Elephas maximus indicus: one gene and its partner. The protein of the gene in region 1 binds, or shares a complex with, the protein of each later gene. Links are inferred from orthologs where the notes say so. Each region holds a gene or a part of one and is shown on either strand. Other genes may lie near its edges. The genes, in order: LNX1 and IGSF5.

The links.
Region 2: the proteins of LNX1 (region 1) and IGSF5 are in contact, whole or in part, in a crystal structure (PDB 3VQG), measured with the Mus musculus proteins. The link is inferred for Elephas maximus indicus from reciprocal best matches to the Homo sapiens genes LNX1 and IGSF5. Residues at the interface, in NP_001153049.1 of Mus musculus: Gln396, Leu397, Gly398, Ile399, Lys400, Leu401, Val402, Phe413, Leu416, Pro446, Ala449, Ala450, Ile453; in NP_001171358.1 of Mus musculus: Val367, Thr368, Leu369, Val370.

The regions. Positions count from the first base shown.
Region 1 is NC_064823.1:107,992,473-108,002,917, forward strand, and holds the start of LNX1 (E3 ubiquitin-protein ligase LNX), read left to right. Parts: upstream 1-6,520; 5' UTR 6,521-6,845; intron 6,846-10,445.
Region 2 is NC_064820.1:222,593,939-222,604,389, forward strand, and holds the start of IGSF5 (immunoglobulin superfamily member 5), read left to right. Parts: upstream 1-5,908; 5' UTR 5,909-6,391; intron 6,392-6,668; exon of another isoform or gene 6,669-6,873; intron 6,874-10,451. UniProt on the Homo sapiens protein: Provides, together with MAGI1, an adhesion machinery at tight junctions, which may regulate the permeability of kidney glomerulus and small intestinal epithelial cells. Mediates calcium-independent homophilic cell adhesion.

The DNA of each region.
Region 1 (10,445 bases):
CCTGAGTACTGGATTAAGAACGAAGAAAGCTTCATCTCTCCTTTCCCCTGAACCATGGGACCAACAAGGGGGCCAACTCCTCCAACCAAGTAGTGATGGGGAAGAACACAGAAGCAAGAGAACAGAGCTCTATCTCAGCTGGCCTGGAGACGCCACATGGCTCGCCTAAAACAGAAACCAGAGGCTGCATAAGTACTCCGTACCCACCCTCCAAGTCGAGAGAAAGACTGAAGGAGGCCTTCACTTCGCAATGCAGCAGTCTAGTCCCACACCTACAGGAGGCCAGGGAAGGATGTGCTCTCCATGTCTCATCAATCAGATTGGTCAGGGTCTCCTGGTCTCACCAATCAGATTGGTCATTTCTCCTACTGTTGGGAGGAGCAAGTCAGGATCTTGGAGGAAGCCAGAAGCATGGTTTGATACTGCACCTTCTTGGGAAACTTGAGAAACGAATCGGAAGTCCCTTCCTTAATATGGACAGGAAAATAAGTATTTCCTGGCTCTGCCTCAACTCAAATAAACACAATCCCTGTGTGAATAAATCATCTCATAGGCATTCCCAATATTGTTCAACTCTAGTTAACCAAGACCCAGATTAAGATGAGGGTTCAGGGAGGGTGTAGCTGGTGATGAGTCACCATAATTTTGCAAATTCGTATAAAACACAAAACAGGCAAACTCCTTTGTTTCAAGAGGATGTGTGCATGTGTGTGTGTGTGTGTGTGCTGGTTGTTTGAATCTGGAACACATTTTTCCCCATAAACTGATGTTCTAAATCTAAAATGGTGTTTAGTTTCCCAAAGCTGGCCTCCAAAAGTCTTTATGACAGTACAATTTCCACTCTGCCCTGTTGTTTTCATGAGGAATGAATTACAAAATCTAACTTGCGAAGCCAGAAACACATAAGTCCTTCATCCACACCACTCCCACCCCCAGCTCTCCCCCACCCCTTCCCTGGGCTGTGGAACAGCACTCCCAGAGGCAATAGAAAGCCATAGACAGTGCTTCCTTGGAAGGGACGACTCAGGGTAGATTCTCCAAGAACACAATTATTTGCTAATTCTCAACATCTGCACAGGGGAAATTATATCTCTGTATCAGAATAAGAACAAGTTAGTACCTCTCAACAGCTATTTAAGAAACTAAGTGATCTTCATTGAAAAAAGATTTTCCCGTTCAATTACTCATTCCTTCATTAAGTGTTGTATTTAAAAATGTGGAACCTATTTTTATGTACCAGGTTCTAGACATATAGTTGTGAACAAAATAAACATAGCTCCTGCCCTTATGGAAGGAAACCTAGCTGGGGTTGGGGGTAGTGGGTATGGGTGGGTAAACCGTATATTAAATGAATAGGCAAATAAAAATTATATTTACAAATTGTAACAAGAGCTACAGAGTCCCTGGGTGGCCCAAAGGACTACTGATCAACAGGTTGTTGGTTCGAATCCATCCAGAGATGCCTTGGAAAAAAAGTCCTGGTGATTTACTTCTGAAAAAGCAGCCATTTGAAAACTCTGTAGAATGCAGCTCTGTACTGACACACGTGGACTGCCCTGAGTTGGAATCACCTCAACGACAATTGGTTAGTTTTATTAAGTGCTGCAAAGGAAAAGTTGGTGAGTGGGGAGTGTCTCTAGGAAATGACATTTGAGCTGAGATCTGAAAAATGAAAAAGAAGCAGAGACAGTGTGTGTGTGTGTGTGTGTGTGTGTGTAAGTCAGTCCAGGAAGAGCAAAGGCTGTGAGATGGAGAAAAGCTTGGAGGGTTCTTGAACTGAGAGCAAGCTAGTGTGGCTGAAGTGTACTGAAGGAGGGGGAGCATAGCTGAGATAATGTTGGAGAGGTAAACAGGAACCAAATATTCCACACTTAGTGGGGCTATGTTGTATTTTATCCTGAGTGCGATAGAAAGACGTGAGGCTTTTATATAGGCTAATGACACAGTCAGAAACCCTGGTGGCGTAGTGGTTAAGAGCTATGGCTGCTAATCAAAGGGTTGGCAGTTCAAATCCACCAGGTACTCCTTGGAAACTCTATGGGGCAGTTCTACTCTGTCCTATAGGGTCACTATGAGTCGGAATCGACTTGACTGCACTGGGTTTGGTTTTTTTTTTTTTAATGACACAATCGGGGTTACCTTTAAAAAAATCTAACCTGGCTGTGGTGTGGAACATAGATTTGGTAGAGGGACTGGGGGCAAGAAGGGAAGCAGGCAGGATAGTTAGGATTGCCTACAGTAACCCAGGTGAGAGATGATGGACGGTCAGTTGGACCCCTGTGATAATGGAAACAGAGGGCAGTGGTTGAAGCTGATGTAAATTTTTGAGGTGGAATTGACAGGATGTACTTATGGATCCCACCACCTGTCTGTCAGTTTGTCGTACTGCGGTGGCTTAAGTGTTGCTGTGATGCTGGAAGCTACACCGCCATGAGTATGTCAAATACCCATGGAGTGTAGCTTTCAGTGGAGTTTCCAGACCAAGACAGGCTAGGGAGAAAGGCCTGGTGATCTACTTCCAAAAATTGTTGTTGTTGTTAGTTGCCATCAAGTCACTTCCGACTCATAGTGATCCCATGTTCAACAGAACAAAACACTGCCTGGTCCTGCGCCATCCTCACAATTGTTGCTATGCTTGAGCCCATTGTTGCAGCCACTGTGTCAATCCATCTCGTTGAGGACCTTCCTGTTTTTCAATGACCCTCTACTTTACCAAGCATGATGTCCTTCTCCAGGGACTGATCCCTCTGATAACATGTCCAAAGTATGTGAGATGTAATCTCACCATCCTTGCTTCTAAGGAGCATTCTGGCTGTACTTCTTCCAAGACAGATTTATTCATTCTTTTGGCAGCTCATGGTATAATCAGTATCCTTTGCCGACACCGTAATTCAAAGGCGTCAATTCTTCTTTGGTCTTCCTTATTCATCGTCCAGCTTTCACATGTATATGAGGCAACTGAAAACACCACGGCTTGGGTCAAGTGAACCTTAGTCTTCAAGGAGATATCTTTGCTTTTTAAGGCTTTAATGAGGTCTTTTGCAGCAGATTTGCCCAATGCAATATGTCTTTTGAATGCAAAAGATGCATTGCATCCAAAAATTAGCCAATGAAAACCCTATGAATCACACCTTAACACTGTGTGATATAGTGCTGGAGGATGAGCCCCCTAGGATGAAACGCATTCAAAACCGCAGTGGCCTCAACAATAGACTCAAGCATACCAATGATGGTGAAGATGGCCGAGGACTGGGCAACGTTTTATTCTGTTGTATATGGGGGTCACCGCGAGTCAGAGCCAACTCAACAGCAACTAACAACTTATGGATTGGATGTGGGGTTTAAGAAAGAAGGCGCATAATGGCAACTCCAGATGGAGCACTTGGGTGGATAAAAAAGCCATTTACTGAGATGGAGGAACAGGAGGAGGAGCAGGAGAAGAAGATGAAGAGCTGGCTTTGAAAGTGTGACGTATGAAATGGCTGTGAGTCGTGGAGCAAGCGGTTGGAAGATCTGACCCACAGATAGGAATATGGGGATTGTTGGCGTAAAGATGTTATTTAAAACCTTGGAGTGGGGCTTTGGACTCCTCCCCTTGTTGCCCTACCCGTTTGTATAAACTATAAGTTATATTCTTATGAGGAGAGAAAGGAAAGCAATCAGTCCATTACTGCTCAAAAAAACTATTTTCTATCTCTTATTATGATAAATCCATTTTAACCCTGATCAATCTCACAAGAGTGAAAAGGGACCTGAGAGAAAGCTAACTCAGGTTCTAGTTTCTTTATCACCATTTAAAGATAGAAATGGCTATTCTAAAAAATTCAGCATTTCTCAGATTTAATATTCCTCCTTCAAAATAGACCCAAAATAAGGCAATTTTCTCTGCAAATAACTGGGCATGCTATCTTTCCAGGATACTTTAAAAACGGGCCATCTTTCCTTCCAAGGGGAAGACAATTTGCTTTCCCATAATTATTAAAATGTTTAAGTACATCTGGACCTTTCTGCTGAGTTGAGATCTGTCACTCACCTAGAATATCCCACACCAAATGGAAATGATGCTCAAAAGCAGTGGAGTTTGAGCAGATCCAGGTCACCATGGTGTAAGTGATCTGGCTTTGGAGAGGGCACATTTGTAAAGTGAAATTAATACATCCTGTTTTCATCTGTGACTTCTCTCTGTTTCCAGTTTTGAACAGTCAGCTGCACTGGTTCCATGATCGTGCACAAAAATTTTGGGGGACGTTTATATGTTTGCTGTTAATCCTAGAATGGACTCAAGTCTTGGACGCCAATCAGTCGGTACTGATCCACATGCTCGGAGGAGCAGAGAGAGAAGTGAAATCTACCTACCTTACCCTTCTGCATTGAAAACCCCAGAGCTGCCCGCAGTACCCACATCTATCTTTGTTCCCTGATCGAAGGCTGTGGAGCAGATGCTGAACATGAAAGCTTCCATTACGTCAGCCCCTTTCCAAAATTTTGGTTTTTCATTTCATGTGATAAGGTTGAAAAGGCCCATTTGACTGTTATAAATTGCCTTCCTCATCAAAGAACTCCAAGACCAAAGTCTATAAACATATCTAGATGCTACGCTTAAATGTAAACCACAGGAAAAGAAAAATGAATTGATATCCAAACTAAATGCCCAGCCCCTAGCCCATCTTCCTCTTTATTACTATAACTCCAGTAAATAAGTCTATAGTCTCTGTTAAAAAGAATGAAAAGCTGACCAACCTCAAGTTGAGAGGTTTATGTGGCCCTAGGGCAAAATACCCCAAAGATCCACCAAACCAGATCCAAGGGTAAATAAGGGGAGCAATTGCCCTGATGTTGCAACTCCTATGTTTATGAAAACAGGCAACTTGGACCCCGCTGGGAGCCATCTCTCTGTCTCCTAATTAACGGTTTTACTTTCCTTTGACCAGTTGCCAGCTGCCCCGGGGTAACCACCATGGCACAGGAGAGCTAACTGCTAACAATTCGAAGTAAAGATGAAGACAATAAAACCCAAAAAGGTTGCAGTGTGACCTAAGGACTGAAGACTAAAAACACATGGGCTGGTTTCTTCTCACCAGGCAGAAGTTTCCAGGCCAGGAACTCAATCTCATTCCATGGATTGTTGATTAAAAGAAGCTTGTAACTGCTAGGCGCCTACTGTCAAAAGGACAAACTAGTGACCCGGCCATGACCAAAACACACCCAGAGCCAAGAGATTTACAGGGCACTTCCTGGTTTGTAAGTCAAAATCACAGCGGAGGGCCTGAGACAGACAGCAGCTAGCAGCACCACCTTTGACTAGAGAGGACATTGGGTACCTGGATTATACTTTTCCTGCATACACACTACATGTGAAATACACCAACGCACATCACCAGAGGGAGACCATGTAACTGATGACCAGTGATGCTGTTTAGAATTCTTTTCCCGCAGCTAGTAGCTTATTGAAGCAATGTCTTTGGCTATCCCTGAAGCTGTTCCCACACAGGTGTATAAGCCTACCTGGTGGGAAAAGCAGGTCATGGGTGGCTAAGTTTGCTCTCAACTACTAATTTAAAGGTTGGTGGTTTTAACCCACCCAGCAGTACCACAAAAGAAAGGTCTGGTAACCTGATTCCGTTAAGATTACAGCCAAAAAAACACTTATGGAGCAGTTCTACTCTGTAATACATGGGGTTGCCGTGCGCCAAGATCGGCTTGATGGCAACAGGTTCAGTTGGCTGTGTTTGTGTGTGTGTGAAAAGCAAGACTTCAAAAGCCCATGTCCAGAAATGTGATTTAACAAATTTTAAGTAGCTGAGTCACTTTGCAGTAGTTTAATCTCTCTAATACTCAATTTCTTTATAAAGTGGGAATGGTGATTATAGGATTATGATGAGAATTAAATGAAATAATGCACATCAGGAAATTAGCATAGGACCAGGCATTCGGTAAACACAATAAATGTCAGCAAAGATGTGGCTGCTAAAGGTGATGATGGTCAAAAGTAAACAGAAGACATTCTTATTTAAACAATAATCCTATATCTTTAGAATTAAAAATCTTTCATAGTGTCACCCTTAAACTTGCTCGTCACTTTTCTTTGTCTACGAACATTAGCTAGCATCCAGTGATGCGTGGTACTGCTTATGGAAAATCTTTGGAAGTTTTGGCAAGGTACTGGAAAAATTCAGGATTGTTTCATTTGCCTGATATAGAATTTCATGCACTTTTCTTTGCACATTTAAAAACAAAAAGACAAGCAGGATTCTGAGACAGGTCCAGTTGGAAGCCCTGGCTTATTTGGGGACTGGTTCTGAGCATGATGATGTCCCAGACCTAACGATGGCCGGAAGGTGCAGTGGCCAGTGTTTGTTTCCTTGTTGATTTCCTTTCCCTGGTTCCAAGCTCATGTTCCCATTGCCTGCAGGAAAACAACATCCAGGGGTGCGGTAGGCCTGACTTGGCAGCCCTAAAGGTGAACAAAAGTGTCCTGCATTTTGGCAAGAGCAGAAGGAAGTTTGAGGGAGGGAGGCTTAGCCCCATCCAAATGGATTTGTCACTGATGCGAACGAGCGGCTGCTCTGAGGGGCTGCTCTCCAACCGAAGTGGCGCCCTGACAGGCTGCCCTCTCTCGGGATCATGGATCTGCTCTGCCCAAACCTTGCAGAAAAGACAGGGGATGTGCTGATTAACCTCTGAGTATACGAAGGCAGAGTGGTCTGCACATATGTCTGGAAGACGAGGTGCAGGAAAGAGAAAGAAGCTTTCCCGAACTACTCTGGAGTCAGAAAACCTCAGCTTCCAAAAGAACTGTCACCTGAGGCCCCTTACACCTGGGAACTGATCCACAGGCAGCAAAGGTAAGATTGCCTGGTTTCTCCACCAGGTAGAATCTCATACAATTTGAGAAAATTTGACTCCTGACTATGCCAGCCTCCCACACCCACCTCTATCAGATGGGCACACACACACACACAAATTCTCTGAGGAGAGCCTTGCTGTTAGTTGCCGTTGTGTCCATTCCAACTCACGGCAACCTCATGTGTGCAGAGTAGGGTTTTTAAGGCCGTGACCTTTCAGAAGCGGATCGCCAGGCCTATCTTCCAAAATGCCTCTGGGTGGGTTCGAACTACCAAACTTTTGGTTAGTAGTCAAGTAATTAACCATTTGTATCATTGAGAAACTCCTAAGGAGAGTTCAGTAGACAGAAATACCTAGTTGTATCTTTTTTCAAAATACCAGAAAGGCCTCAGGACACTTGCTCTTCGCATGCTCATTTTTTCCCCCCGCACTGGTCTTCGCGGAAACGTCTTTCTTCCTTTACTTTCAAGAATGGAAACCATTTGCCAAACAGGTTAGTAAAACTGTAAGCAACCCTGTGAATGGCAATTGGATTGTATACAACTTTATTCTCATCAATATTCAAAACGCAGGCACATACACATTTTGTTTCATTTCTATGATAGGAACAGGTATTATCAGTCCCATTTTACCCATGGAGAAATTTAGGTCCAGAGAAATTGTGACTCAGCCACCGACATGTGTCAACTCCTGCCTCTTTTCACTAAAATGGTGACTGTATGTTCCTAGCCAAGTATCAGGCTACATTCATTGGCACATATTCTGATAAATGGTCCAATGAGAGGATGGAATTTTAAAAATTGGAACTGTCTTGAAAAATGCAGAAATACATCTTCACAGTATCCTGTTTACTTCCATTCCCGGGAATTGAATCCAGTTGGATGAATGTTGATAAACTCTGCTTCCTGTGCCTAGCACTGGGCCAGGCCGTGGTCCCAGCTATACACTCAAGGAGTGCAGAGCCATCGAAGCGGGGAGCTGCACATGGCAGCTGGTGGTAGTGGTAGTTGTCTTAAAGTTGTCTCAGGGTTTAAATGAGACAATGCACGTGAAGCCTTTGCTGGCACATACTAAAAAAATTTTTAAAAACCAGTTGCCATTGAGTTAATTTCGACTCATGAAGACCCCATGTGCTTCAGAGTAGAACTGTGCTCCATAGGGTTGTCAAGGCTGTGACCTTTCAGGAGCAGATTGCTAGACTTTTCTTCTGGGACATCTCTGGGTGGGTCCAAACTGCCAACCTTTTGGTTAGTAGTCAAGTGCTTAACTATTTGCACCAGCCAGAGGCTCCTTAAAAAAACCCAAAACCAACCCCACTGCCGTGGAGTCGATTGCAACTCATAGTGACCCTATAGAGGCTCGCAAGTGCTCAATAAATGCAAACTATTACCCTAGTGGTGCAGTGGCTAAGAGTTAGCCACTAATCAAAAGGTCAGCAGTTCGAATCCACCAGCCGCTCCTTGGAAACCCTATGTGGCTGTTCTACTCTGTCCTGTAGGGTCAATATGAGTCAGAATTGACTCAGCGGCAATGAGGTTTATTAATTTATTTGCTTCTAATCCTGGGTCCAGGCAAGATGCCGTGAATACAGAGAAGAGGGGCCCAGCCTTCAATCAAAGCTTTGTAAATTAGTTGTATGCAACTATGTACAGTTGATAGGTGCTCTGGGATCACACAGGAGGCAACCACTAATCTGTGGGAGTTGGGGTGGGGGTTTGGGAAGCCTGCTGGGTGCGAGAGGCAAGGTGGAAGAGGCTTCAGATCAAGAGGCCTTGTGTGAAGGGAGACGGCACAGAACAGCGAAAAGAGCTATTCAGATTTGGTTTCTAATCCCAGAGTCATCCCCTCCTAGAAGCGTAGCCTAACCAAGTTACTAAATCTCTCTGAGCTTCCATTTTCTCTTCTATAAAATGGAGATGTTTCTATAAAACATAAGTTGGAGAATCATCGTGATAATTAGAAAGAGAACACTAAAAGACCTCTCTCTGTTTCTGGCCCACAGAAGATGCCCAATAAGCAGTAGTTGTTATCACCACTTTAGACCAAGCCTCAAATGAACACGGGGACTGGCACAATCCATGTTCCAGGTAAACACTGAAGAGCTGGTCCTTAGTTATTCCCTCAGACTTTTCTGAGATGACAAAGGAGACCTTGGTGTTTCCACTTCATGGTGCTGGCAGATGAGCCCATCGTCAGATAAGTCGAATGGATTGCATGATCAGATATCATGTGTTATCTCTATCTAGCTATTCAGGAACCTTTCCAGTCTTTACTAAATGAGCGGGGTGAGCCCAACCCTCTCCCACACCTTGGCAGAGCACCAACAGGCAGGAGCTATACCCCAATTCTGCTTCTACGGCAGACACTCCAATCCTTCTCCACCCAGAGTGGCCTCTGAGTACGTGTTCTTTGCTAACTGAATTATTGCTGTTCTCAGCCCTCTCAGTGCACAGAGCTAAGACTTGTGTGTGTGTGTATTTCTATACTAATCTTTACATATTGAAGAGCATAAATTCACACAGGTGCTTCCAATTCCAATCCAACACCACAGAGTTCATTCTTGTTTTGTCCCTTTCCATATTTGTAACTCCCTTTTTCTCTGACAGTGAGATACCTGGCTCCCATTATCCTCAATATATTTCCTTATTTGATCAACCCCCTGACTGTAACCACCTGTGGTCACTACCACAGCTGTCTTCCCCATGCCGACACCCCCTCATCCTGTTTGAGTTCCAATGCCCAGGCCAGGCTGCCCTTTCACAGGGATGCCTTCCTTTGCCATCCAGACTCCAACACTTGTGCTGGACAGCCTTTCTGTTGGCTAACCTCCTCACCCCACTCAGACTATGACTCCCCATGAAGGTCATTTCCCATTATCTGCTTGGACACCATACTCACCTTACCAGATCTCTAACATTCCACGCCAGGGAGCCAGCAGCCCGCCTGCGTGAAAGCCCTTCTCTCCTGCTTCAGCTCTGACAACCTGCCCTGAGCCACTGTATCTTCTCTACCACCCACATGGATGCTCAGCCACACAAAATGGCCTTACGGTCTGAAGTACTTAGGAAGAAAAGGAAAGGGAATGAGGGGAGGGAGGAGAAGAGGACATTCACTCAATTGTGACATCGATGAGAAACTCAAACGTTGCTCTGTGACCATGACATGCATGTGTGTGCGCATGTTGTCACTGTCTTTGATTTGTTGGGGAGTAGAGCATATTCCTCCATATGGATTGGGTAGATGTCACAAACACCAGGCCTTAAAAAGTGTGGTTCAACCGGAGACTTACATCATCCTGAGACCAGAAGAACTAGATGGTGCCCGGCCACAACCGATGACTGCCCTGACAGGGAGCACAACAGAGAACCCCTGAGGGAGCAGGAGAACAGTGGGATGCAGACCCCAAATTCTCATAAAAAGACCAGACTTAACGGTCTGACTGAGACTAGAGGAATCCCGGCAGTCATGGTCCCCAAACCTGTTGGCCCAGGACAGGAACCACTCCCGAAGACAACTCATCAGACATGGAAGGGACTGGACAATGGGTTGGAGAGAGATGCTGATGAAGAGTGAGCTACTTGTATTAGGTGGACACTTGA
Region 2 (10,451 bases), on another chromosome or scaffold:
TAGAGTTTCCAAGGAGCACCTGGTTTATTCGAACTGCTGACCTTTTGGTTTGCAGCTGTAGCACTTAACCACTATGCCACCAGGGTTTCCTAGGGTACAGCCTAGACAAATTGACACATAAGATTAACCATCACAGTTAGTAGGTAGGTGTGGCTGCTGTGACAGAGACAAAAGTAACAGTGGCTTAAACAAGACAAGTTTCTGTTTCTCTACAAAACCCCCAGCTATGTGGCAGCCTTGCTCTTGAAAGCCTTTGAGGGCTCATTCTTTTTTAATCTTCTTGCTCTGCCCTCTCAGGGTGTTGTCCACAGTGGCTCATTACCACTTCTACATTCTAGCCAGCAGGAAGGAGCAGAAAGGGAAAGAGAAAACATACTTCTCTTAATAAAGGGATGGGACCCACTCACATCCCTCTGATCTAAATTTAGCCACATGACCATGCTTAGCTGCAAGGGAGGCAAGGAAATGCAGTTTGTATTTTTGCCCAGTTAAAAATTAGGGATTAAAAAAAAAATTAGGGATTCTTTTGCCATAGTGATATGGCTTGAACTGTGTCTCCAAAAAAAATGTGTTGAAGTCCTAATCCCCAGTACCTTTGAACATGACCTTGTTTGGAAATAGGGTCTTCAAAGATATTATCAGTTAGGTTTAAATGAGGTTATACTAGAGTAGAGTGGGTCTGAATCTGAGTCCTGACCTTCCTTATAAACGAGGAGAGGCACAGATACTGGGGGGAAATGGTCATGTGGAGATGGAAGCAGAGATTGGACTGATGCCTCTACAAGCCAAGGAACGCCAAGGATCGCCAGTTGTCACCAGAAGCTAGGAGAGAGGCATGGAACAGGTCATCCCTGAGGGCCCTCAGGAGGAATCAATGCAGCCAACACCCTGCTTTCATACTCTCAGCCTTCAGAACTATGAGACAATACATTTCTGTTCTTATAAGCCACTCAGTTTGGTCCTTTGTTATGGCAGCGCTAGGAAACTAATACGCAAAGAATAGGTGAAATAGATGTGGGGGCATGGTGCAGGTGTTTACAGGCACCCTTTGTGCATGGCTCTGTATCCAGCCTTGTGGGGACTGTAAAGGTGAACACATTGTAGTCCTTGAATCCAGAAGAGGGAGAGAATGTAGGAAAAGTTTCATTTGCAGTTAGAGATTGCCAATTGGTCTATGGAATGACAAGACTACAATAAATGTGGATCACAGACAGCTAAGTATGACCAGCAAGTAGGTCTTGCCCAGGAGAATACTCAAAACAAACAAGCAAAGAGGGCAAGAGAAAGTAATGCTAAGCCAGTTTGAGACTTGCAATACAAGTCTAAAAACAATCCTCTGGAGCCTTGGGATTCTCAAAAACCCCCAAACAACCCAGGCGTTCAACTTTGCTTTTGAAGGACATATATAAAAAAAAAAAAAAAAACAGTGCCGTCGAGTCGACTCCGACTCATAGTGATCCTATAGGACAGAGTAGAACTGCCCCCATAGAGTTTCCAAGGAGCGCCTGGCAGATTTGAAATGCCAACCCTTTGGTTAGCAGTCATAGCACTTAAACTGGGTGAATAAACTCAAGTGGGACATGGGAGAAAAGAGATCAGCGACAATCCTCTGGAAGGCAACATTTTCAATGACTGGTGGAGCAGTTGGAGAAAGCAGCAAGTGCAGCAAACATTTGCTTGGTTGATGTTCACATCTGTAGACAAAGTAAATTTAATTCGCATCTCCAGAAGCAAGAAAGAGTCTGTGACGAAAGCCAACACAAACACCTGGGAGTTTCGTTTCCACGGCAACTCCCAGCCAGGGTGCACGCAAACATTTCCACAAAAGGGTGGTGTGATTACTCTTCAGCCATGCGCACCCACCTTCTGTCAGGCTGTTTTGATGTGCTGAAAATGAGAATTCTTCAGTAAAATTCTAATTGATCTAATAGAATAAATTAGATTCTAATGCTCCAAAGGCATTTTGCAATTTTTACTTCTCTATGCTTTGGAATTCATTTTCAAAACACATTTCATTTGTTTTTGGAAATCCAAGTTCACTCTTCAGGGCCATTTTTTGCTTTTTGTTCAACCGTATGATACATGGACCACCGACTAAGTGGGGGGCTCCTGGCTTAGGGCCAGGGTACCTACAGAGGGCCACAAATTTAATGAATGTGTTTAAAATGTTTGGCACATTTTAAAATCCTCTCATTCGGCAGCAAACACCACTCTTTTCCTACTGAGGAAACCAGCTTGTTCTTTCAAGGTCTTTTGTCACTTGGCAGATGGCTGAACTGGAAACCCAAGGTCCAGGGCTGGTAGCCTGCTTGTCTGGGACACCTTTGTCAACACAGATCATCCCCTCTGTTATGGATTGAATTATGTCCCCCCAAAATATGTTTTGTAAAACCTAACCTCTATGCCTGTGGTTATAATACCATTTGGGAATGGGTTGTCTAGGTTATTTAATGAGAGTGTATCTTGAGTCTATCTCTTTTGAGATGTAAAAAAGATTAAATGCAAGCTAGAAGCACAGATGGGGGAAGAGAGATGCCAAGCTACATGAAGATCTCCCAGGAGCAGAAGCTCAAAGAGACAAGGGCCTTCCTCCAGAGCTGACAGAAAGAGAAACCCTTCCTCTAGGGCTGCGTATGGAAGGAATACGCAGAGTCACTCTACCAAAGAGAATTGATGTCCAACCATTTCAGGAGGCACCATACGAGCAGGAACCAATGGTACTGAAGGAAGAAGTCCAAGCTGCACCGAAGGTATTGGCGAAAACAAAGTTCCAGGAACTGGTGGAATATCAATTGCAATGTTTCAACAAACGGATGCAGTGCTGAAAGTTCTCACCTCGCCTATGCCAAGAAATTTGGAAGATAGCTACCTAGCCAACCTACTAGAAGAGATCTATATTTATGCCTATTCCCAAGAAAAGTGATCCCACTGAATGTGGAAATTATTGAACAATACCATTAATATCACAAGCAAGTAAAATTTTGTTGAAGATCATTCAAAAGCAGCTGTGGCAGTATATCGACAGGGAACTGCCAGAAATTCAGGCCGGTTTCAGAAGAGGTCGCGGAACCAGGAATACCATTGCTGATGTCAGATGGATCCTGGGTGAAAGCAGAGAATACCAGAAAGAGGTTTACCTGTGTTTTATGAGCTATGAAGGGGCATTCAACTGTGTGGATCATAACAAATTATGGATAACATTGTGAAGAATGGGAATTCTGGAACACTTAGCTGTGCTTGTGAGGAACCTGTACATAGATCAAGAGGCAGTTGTTGAAACAGACCAGAGGGATACATTGTGATTTAAAGTCAGGACAGGTGTGCGTCAGGGTTGTATCCTTCCACCATACCTATTCAATCTGTATGCCGAGCAGATAATATGAGAAGCTGGACTATATGAAGAAGCATGGGGCATCAGGATGGGAGGAAGACTGATTAAAAACCTGTATTACGCAGATAACACAACCTTTCTTGCTGAAAGTAAAGAGGACTTGAAACACTTACGGATAAAGATCAAAGACCACAGCCTTCAGTATGGATTACACCTCAACATAAAGAAAACAAAAATCTTCACAACTGGACCAATAAGCAACATCATGATAAATGGGGAAAAAATTGAAGCTGTCAAGGATTTCATTTTACTTGGATCCACAATCAACAGCCATGGAAGCAGCAGTCAAGAAATCAAAAGATGCCTTGCAGTGGGCAAATCTGCTGCAAAAGACCTCTTTAAAGTGTTAAAAAGCAAAGATGTTACCTTGAAGACTAAGGTACACCTGCTTGAGCCATGGTGTTTTCAATCACCTCCTATGCATGTGAAAGCTGGAAGATGAATAAAAAAAAAAAACAGAAGAAAAAGTGACGCTTTTGAATTGTGGTGTTGGAGAAGAATATTGAATATAACACGGACTGCCAAGAGAACGAACAAATCTGTCTTGGAAGAAGTACAACCAGAAAGCTCCTTAGAAGCAGGAATGACGAGGCTATGGCTCACATACTTTGAACATGCTATCAGGAGGGGCCAGTCCCTGAAAAAGGACATCATGCTTGGTAAAGTAGAGGGTCAGTGGAAAAGAGGAAGACCCTCGACGAGATGGGGTGACATAGTAGCTGCAACAATGGGCTCAAACACTGCAACAATTGTGAGGATGACGCAGGCCCAGGCAGTGTTTCATCTGTTGTGCATAGCACTGCTGTGAGTTGGAACAACTTGACAGCACCTAACAACAACAGACAGGGAAATGCAAAGTGGAGGAAAGAAACTCAAGCCCCAAATAAAAATTATTTGGGTTAAAAATAGCTTTCACTTAACCACTAAAGAGCTGACAGATAAAACTATTTGTAATTTGATATTAGTGACATGTCAGTTAAAATACAGATTTTCAGATATGCCTATTTTCTGTGGCGGAAGGGCTAGAAAGTACTATCTTAGCTGACAAAGGGAAGAAGTGTGTCAATATGACTTGTTTTTTTAATAGTGTGGCTATGGTCTGAGCTCTACTAGGAGAAAGGAAAATAGCCATTCGGTGAAATAAATTCTGGGCTCACTGAATTGTGAAGGAAAGAGAAGCGATCCTGATGAGGTGGCTTCTGGTGGCTAACGAGGCTACAAATGAGATCAATGTCCACTACTGGAAGGAGCAGCAATTTATCTGTCTCAGGGTCTAGTCCAAATACATGATCTACACCTTCTGCTGGTACCTGTTATGTGCAGATGCCATTGACTGAGGCCTCTGAGAAGATTAAATGCAATGAGGAGATAAGGCAGATATTCCAAAAGGGCCAAGAACTGTTATAAAAGCAGACAATGTGGTGCTTTGAGTCATGACTTAGGGCAGTGATCTTTCCTGAGATAGTCCCAGAGTTAAGTCCCTGGGTGGCGCAAACAGTTTGTGCTCATCTACTGACCTAAAGGTTGGTGGTTCAAATCCACCCAGCGGTCCCGCAGAACAAAGATCTGATGATCTGCTTCTATAAAGATTGCAGTCAAGAAACCTCTGTGGACATAGCAAGGTGTATACAAATTTTTGTATGAGAGACTGACTTGATTTGTAAACTTTCACTTGAAGCACAATAGAAAAAAAAAAAGAAAGGGGATAGAAATAATGATTTGGGTAGTGAGGAAGGATTGTTACAATAATTGATACAGTAGCTAGCAAAAGCTTCCTGGGTATATATTTTCTTATTATAATGTCTTCTCAGGACCCACAGCTAGCTAAGATCTGGTTATGCATATAGGCAGTTATTTTTCACCTCAGAGGTCTTCATTATAATTCACACGTGGTTTTTCTTCCTGTAAGATGTCTTGTTATCTATTGTGAAGATTTTTAGGTCATATATGTGAAGAACTTCCATTTCTGTGAATCTTCAATATCTGAAGATGATTGTCATTGGTTCTGGTCCTCTTCCATACTAAAATATAAGTTTGGCTGGAATAGAGTCACTGTATTCTAATGCGGTGATTTTGCTCATTTCAGTAATCGTTAAAAATAAAAAAAACAATCAATAATCAAAAAAAAAAGAAACCTCTATGGAGCAGTTCCACTCTGTAACACATGGGGTTGCCACGAGTTGGAACTGACTCCATGGCAATGCTTCTTTTTTTCTGAAAAGCCAAGTTCCTTTGTTCACCTCTGAGGAGGTGGGGGTGCGGAGTCAGAGGCCTGAAGACAACCACTTAAGACCACAGTTCTCTTGTAAGTGCTCCTCAGATAATTACCCTTCACATTCAAGAGGACTTCACTTTTAGGATTTTTTTCCTCACAGAAGAACGTGTTCTACTGGATATTTAGGTGCCTGCCAGAAAGAAGGAACCAGCTTGATTAGCCCCTGAGTCTGTCCTGGAGGTAAGGAGAAAGCTCAAGGTCAGTCAGGCCATCCAATGACATCCACCATGTCCCCTTGTTTCAGGCAAGAAAGGACCTGTCTGCTTCCTACTAGCTCATGGACGAAAAAAACCAGCGTGGCAGGCCACGGAGAAGGGCCTGGCTCTCCGGCACTTGCGAAAGGCTTGAGGGAGGAACGGAAAGTGGAGGGTGGAGTGGAGGACAGTCTTGGCACTGAGGCCTTTGGCTTATCAGCCCCAGGTTTGGACTTCCTGTGGTAGCTGTTTGGGACTGGCTAATGATTAATGAGGAAATATGTCCCTTTGGGGCACTCATACCATCCTGGAGTGTGGAACCTATTGGCACCTCTGTTTATAACCCGGCCAGTGACGTGGCAGAACAATTTCATAAGGCACTTCCTGTAAGCCGGTGAAGAGGGACTGGGAGGACTCTTTAAGGGCCAGAAGGAATTTGTTCTTGAGTGTGTGGATAGTGGACACAGACCAAGAAGGCTTTCGGAAACGGAGTGTCCGCTGAAGTCCTGATGAGAAGATCAAGTGCCCGAGGTAAGAATGACTTGCTAGTTCCTCTCCTGATAGGTGGACTTGTCTGGTGGGTTTATCTGCAGTGTAGCTGGGCCTCCTCCCACTGATTAATTAGCTCTCCTGACGGGGACGCTTGAGCCCTGAGGAGGCCTTCTGCTGGGTTTCCCACGGAGAGCATCGGTATTTCTTTCTCAGCTTCTACAAAGTTAAATATTAAAAGAGTGGGCTGCTCTGAGTTTAGAAATTTGGGGAGATTTCTAATAGAGCCAGCCTCAGTTACACCGTGAGCTGTTTTCAGGGAGACGTTTCAAGCCAAGGCTGTGCTGGAATTTTCGGGGTCAGTATTCAGAGGCAGGAAAATTACTAAGACCTGTGTTGCTCATTGGACACACTTGTCAGTGCTGTTTTTTAACTCCTCGATGAGAAGTCTTTATGGAAAGTAGAATTGAAGGGAAATCTATGGAAGTTCTAGGACTGCTCACAAGCTGTCAGGCAACGCCAAGGTAGGCCCAATGCTTGGAATGTCGGGGGTGGGAGGCTCAGAGTTGGAGTCTTTGAGTTTGTAGGAGAGATGTTAGTGCCTTTTTATTTAGGCGTAGTACTTTTGAGAGAGTCCCTTGCGTGGTGTTTGTTGTAGCTCTTCCCACCAGGCCAGGCCTTGAGACACAACTTGGCCTCTGTTCTCTTTAGGCTTGGACTTGTGCAGCTGCCTAAGAAGGCACCTTTGGCGAATATCAAACTATTCAAAACGAAAAAAAAGCCAAACCCACTGCTGTCGAGTCGATTCAGACTCACAGTGACCCTGTAGACAGACCACAACTGCCCCACAGGGTTTCCAAGGCTGTAAATCTTTACGGAAGCAGACTGCCACATCTTTCTTCCATGGAGCAGCTGGTGGGTTTGAAATGCCAACCTTTCGGTTTGCAGCCGAGCACTTTAAACACCGAACCACCAAGGCTTCTTAAACTACTTTCAACAACCTAGAAATAAAGGTTAGTTAACTGAGATTATCAGATTTGACAAATGATATGATTAACTGGGTGGGTCCCCACATATCTTCTGAGTGTTAATATCCACCTTTTCAGTGGTTGGGGGTTAAATCCTGTCTATTCAATATAATTTAATAACACTTAAGACTTTAAGATGACTTTGCAGTTTTTCAACTAAAATTAGGTAATTCAAGTCTTCCATAATGAAATGAATGAGAAATTAAATCTTGGGTCCCAGAAAAACTTCTCTACAGAGATATTAACTGACACAAACCTGGCCTAGGCCCTCGTTTAATTAAAGGGACTTGTCTGATTGTAATTTAAACTTGAAGTCAGCTTTGAGACAGTGTCCTTCCTGTGCACACCCTTTTAACACCAACCCTACATTGGTAGTAATCTCCTGGAGTCCCTAGGTGGGGCAAATGATTAATAAATACACTTGTTGCTAACTGAAAGGCTGGAGGTTCAAGTCCACCCAGAGGTGCCTCAGAAGAAAGGCCTGGTGATCTGTGTCCCAAAACTCAGCCATTGAAAACCCTCTGGGGCACAATTCTTCTCTGACATGCGTGGGGTTGCCATGAGTTGGAATCGTCTCCATGGCAACTGGTTAGTCATCTTACAGCTGGGTTCTCGTGGCTCTCAGCGTGTTCTGTTCTTGCACTGCCCAGTGGTTCTGATTTTTAAAGCTTTTGGACTCTTTAGAAACAGAATCGTTCTTTCACGCAGAGACTCAGTACACATGAATCTCGTGTGAGGATGTTGGCAGAAGGGGGCGTTTAGTAAGTTTAGTCATCTGCTCTTAGTCTTGAGTGCTTCCAATTGTGAGTCACTCTTATCAGTGACTAGAAGTATCTCCTAAGCAACCTTAATCTGTTTCAGTGATACGTTTTCAATTTATTGCTTTCTGTAAGATGTAGAACAGCCTTGTATAACTAGGTGGCTTGACTTCTCCCCGGTCCTCTGCCTTAGCCAAGTGTTCCGGATGACTGACTGGCAGAGTGATTTATTGGTAAAGTTGTGTTAACTGAACCTCGAGATTTAGTAAATGATTTATTTACTCGGGGTCGTAATTACACCTCAGAAAAGCTGTGATTTCATTTCACTTGTGTACAGCTGCTGTACAACATGCTGCTGGAGCACACTTTTAGGGGCTTGCTGCATCTGTTTCAGATTATCCCATGAGACTTGGTGCCACCATGCAATGGTGCCGTAGCACAGAAGTGCTGAATCTTATTATGCATGTGAGCAATTAGAGTTTAGTCCAAACCAAAACCAAAGCAGTTGTTGTCGAGTCGATTCCAACACAGAGCGACCTGATAGGACAGAACAAAACTGCCTCATAGGCTTTCCAGTGCTGTAATCTTTATGCAGGCAGACTGCCACATCCTTCTCCCATGGATTGGCTGGTGGGCGTGAACTGTCCACCTTTCCATTAGCAGCTGAACACTTTGATCAAAGGTTGAATTGTGCTCTCCAAAGGAAACAGAGAAACCAAGAAGTGGGAAGCCTGACGTTTCTCTCATAAGCTGTAAATATCCAGTAATGTGCTTGAGTGGAAAATGTGGTCACCGGCCTGAGCGTCTCCGCTCTCCATCACACTGACACTCAGTTTTCTTCAACAACTTAGATGAGGTGTATTTTGGAGGCCGAGGTGTGGTGGTTATTTGTCCATGGCTATTTCAATTCTTGTATGTCTGCTTATAGGAGCCCAGGTTATGCAACGCTTAAGCACTTGGCTGCTAACAGAAAGGTTGGCAATTTGAAGCCAGCTAGTGGCTTCTTGGGAGAAAAGACCTGATAATCTGCTCCCGTAGATTACAGCCTTGAAAACCCTAGGGGGGCAGTTCTACTCTGTCCTATAGGGCTGCTGTGAGGAAAAAATTGACTTGAGGGCACCCAACAACAACATGTCTGTTTATGGTTGGTTGTTGCCTGTGGAGAAGAAAGGAGACCAGAACCCTGAATGAGTGTGTCAATGCATTTGGAAACCCCACCATGGGGTCTTTAGTAGGAAAGGGCACTGTACATTTTGGAGGTGACGTGTGCCAAAGCTGTCACCTGAAAAACCAGCTCCAGGTCCCTGGGAGCCACACATCCTTGGTATGCAAGAATGCTTGGAATAGAGGCCTTCTTTTGTGAGGCTAAGGAGCCTCTGGAAACCTTGGTGGTGTAGTAGCTAAATGCTATGGCTGCTAACCAAAGGGTCGACAGTTCGAATCCTCCAGGCGCTCCTTGGAAACTCTATGGGGCAGTTGTACTCTGTCCTACAGGGTCGCTATGAGCCGGAATCAATGACAGTGGGTAATGGGGAAGGAGCCTCTGGTTTTACAGACAGTCCTTGGTACATTCAGTGTATTGGTGATTAGCTATGAATGCCCAATGGGATTAAGCAGTGCCAGTGAGTGCCTTGGATAGGCCTGTCCCAGGGGAGAAGGAAAAAGTAAAAGAAAAAAAAATGCATGGATAGTGTTGTGGATTGTGTCCCCCAAAAATGTGTGTCAACTTGGCTAGGCCACGATTCCCAGTATTACGTGATTGTCAATCATTTTGTCATCTGATGAGATTTTCTATGTGTTATAAATCCTACCTCTATGATGTTAATGAGGCAGGATTAGAGGCAGTTACGTTATAGAGGCAAAACTCACTCTATAAGATTAGGTTGTTCCTGAGTCAATCTCTTTTGAGATATAAAAGACAGAATCGAGCAGAGAGACCGGGGCGGCGGGGGGGGGGGGGGGGAGGGCGGGCAGTAAGGAGGGACCTCCTGCCACAAAGAAGAAGAGCTGGGAGTGGAGCATGTCCTTTGGACCCAGGGTCCCTGGGCTGACAAACTCCTACACCAGGGGAAGATGGATGACAAAAGTCATTCCTTCAGAGACAGAAAGCCTTCTCCTGGAGCTGGCATCCTGAATTCAGACTTCTAGCCTCCTAGACTCTGAGAGGATAAATTTCTTTTTGTTATTGCCCTCCACTTGTGGTATTTCTGTTGTGGTAGCACTGAATAACTAAGACTGTGGTTTCCAAAGAACAAAAGGAGGTGGAAGGAAGAGCGAAGAGGTGTATATGATTGAAACCTCGAGTGCTGCCAACTG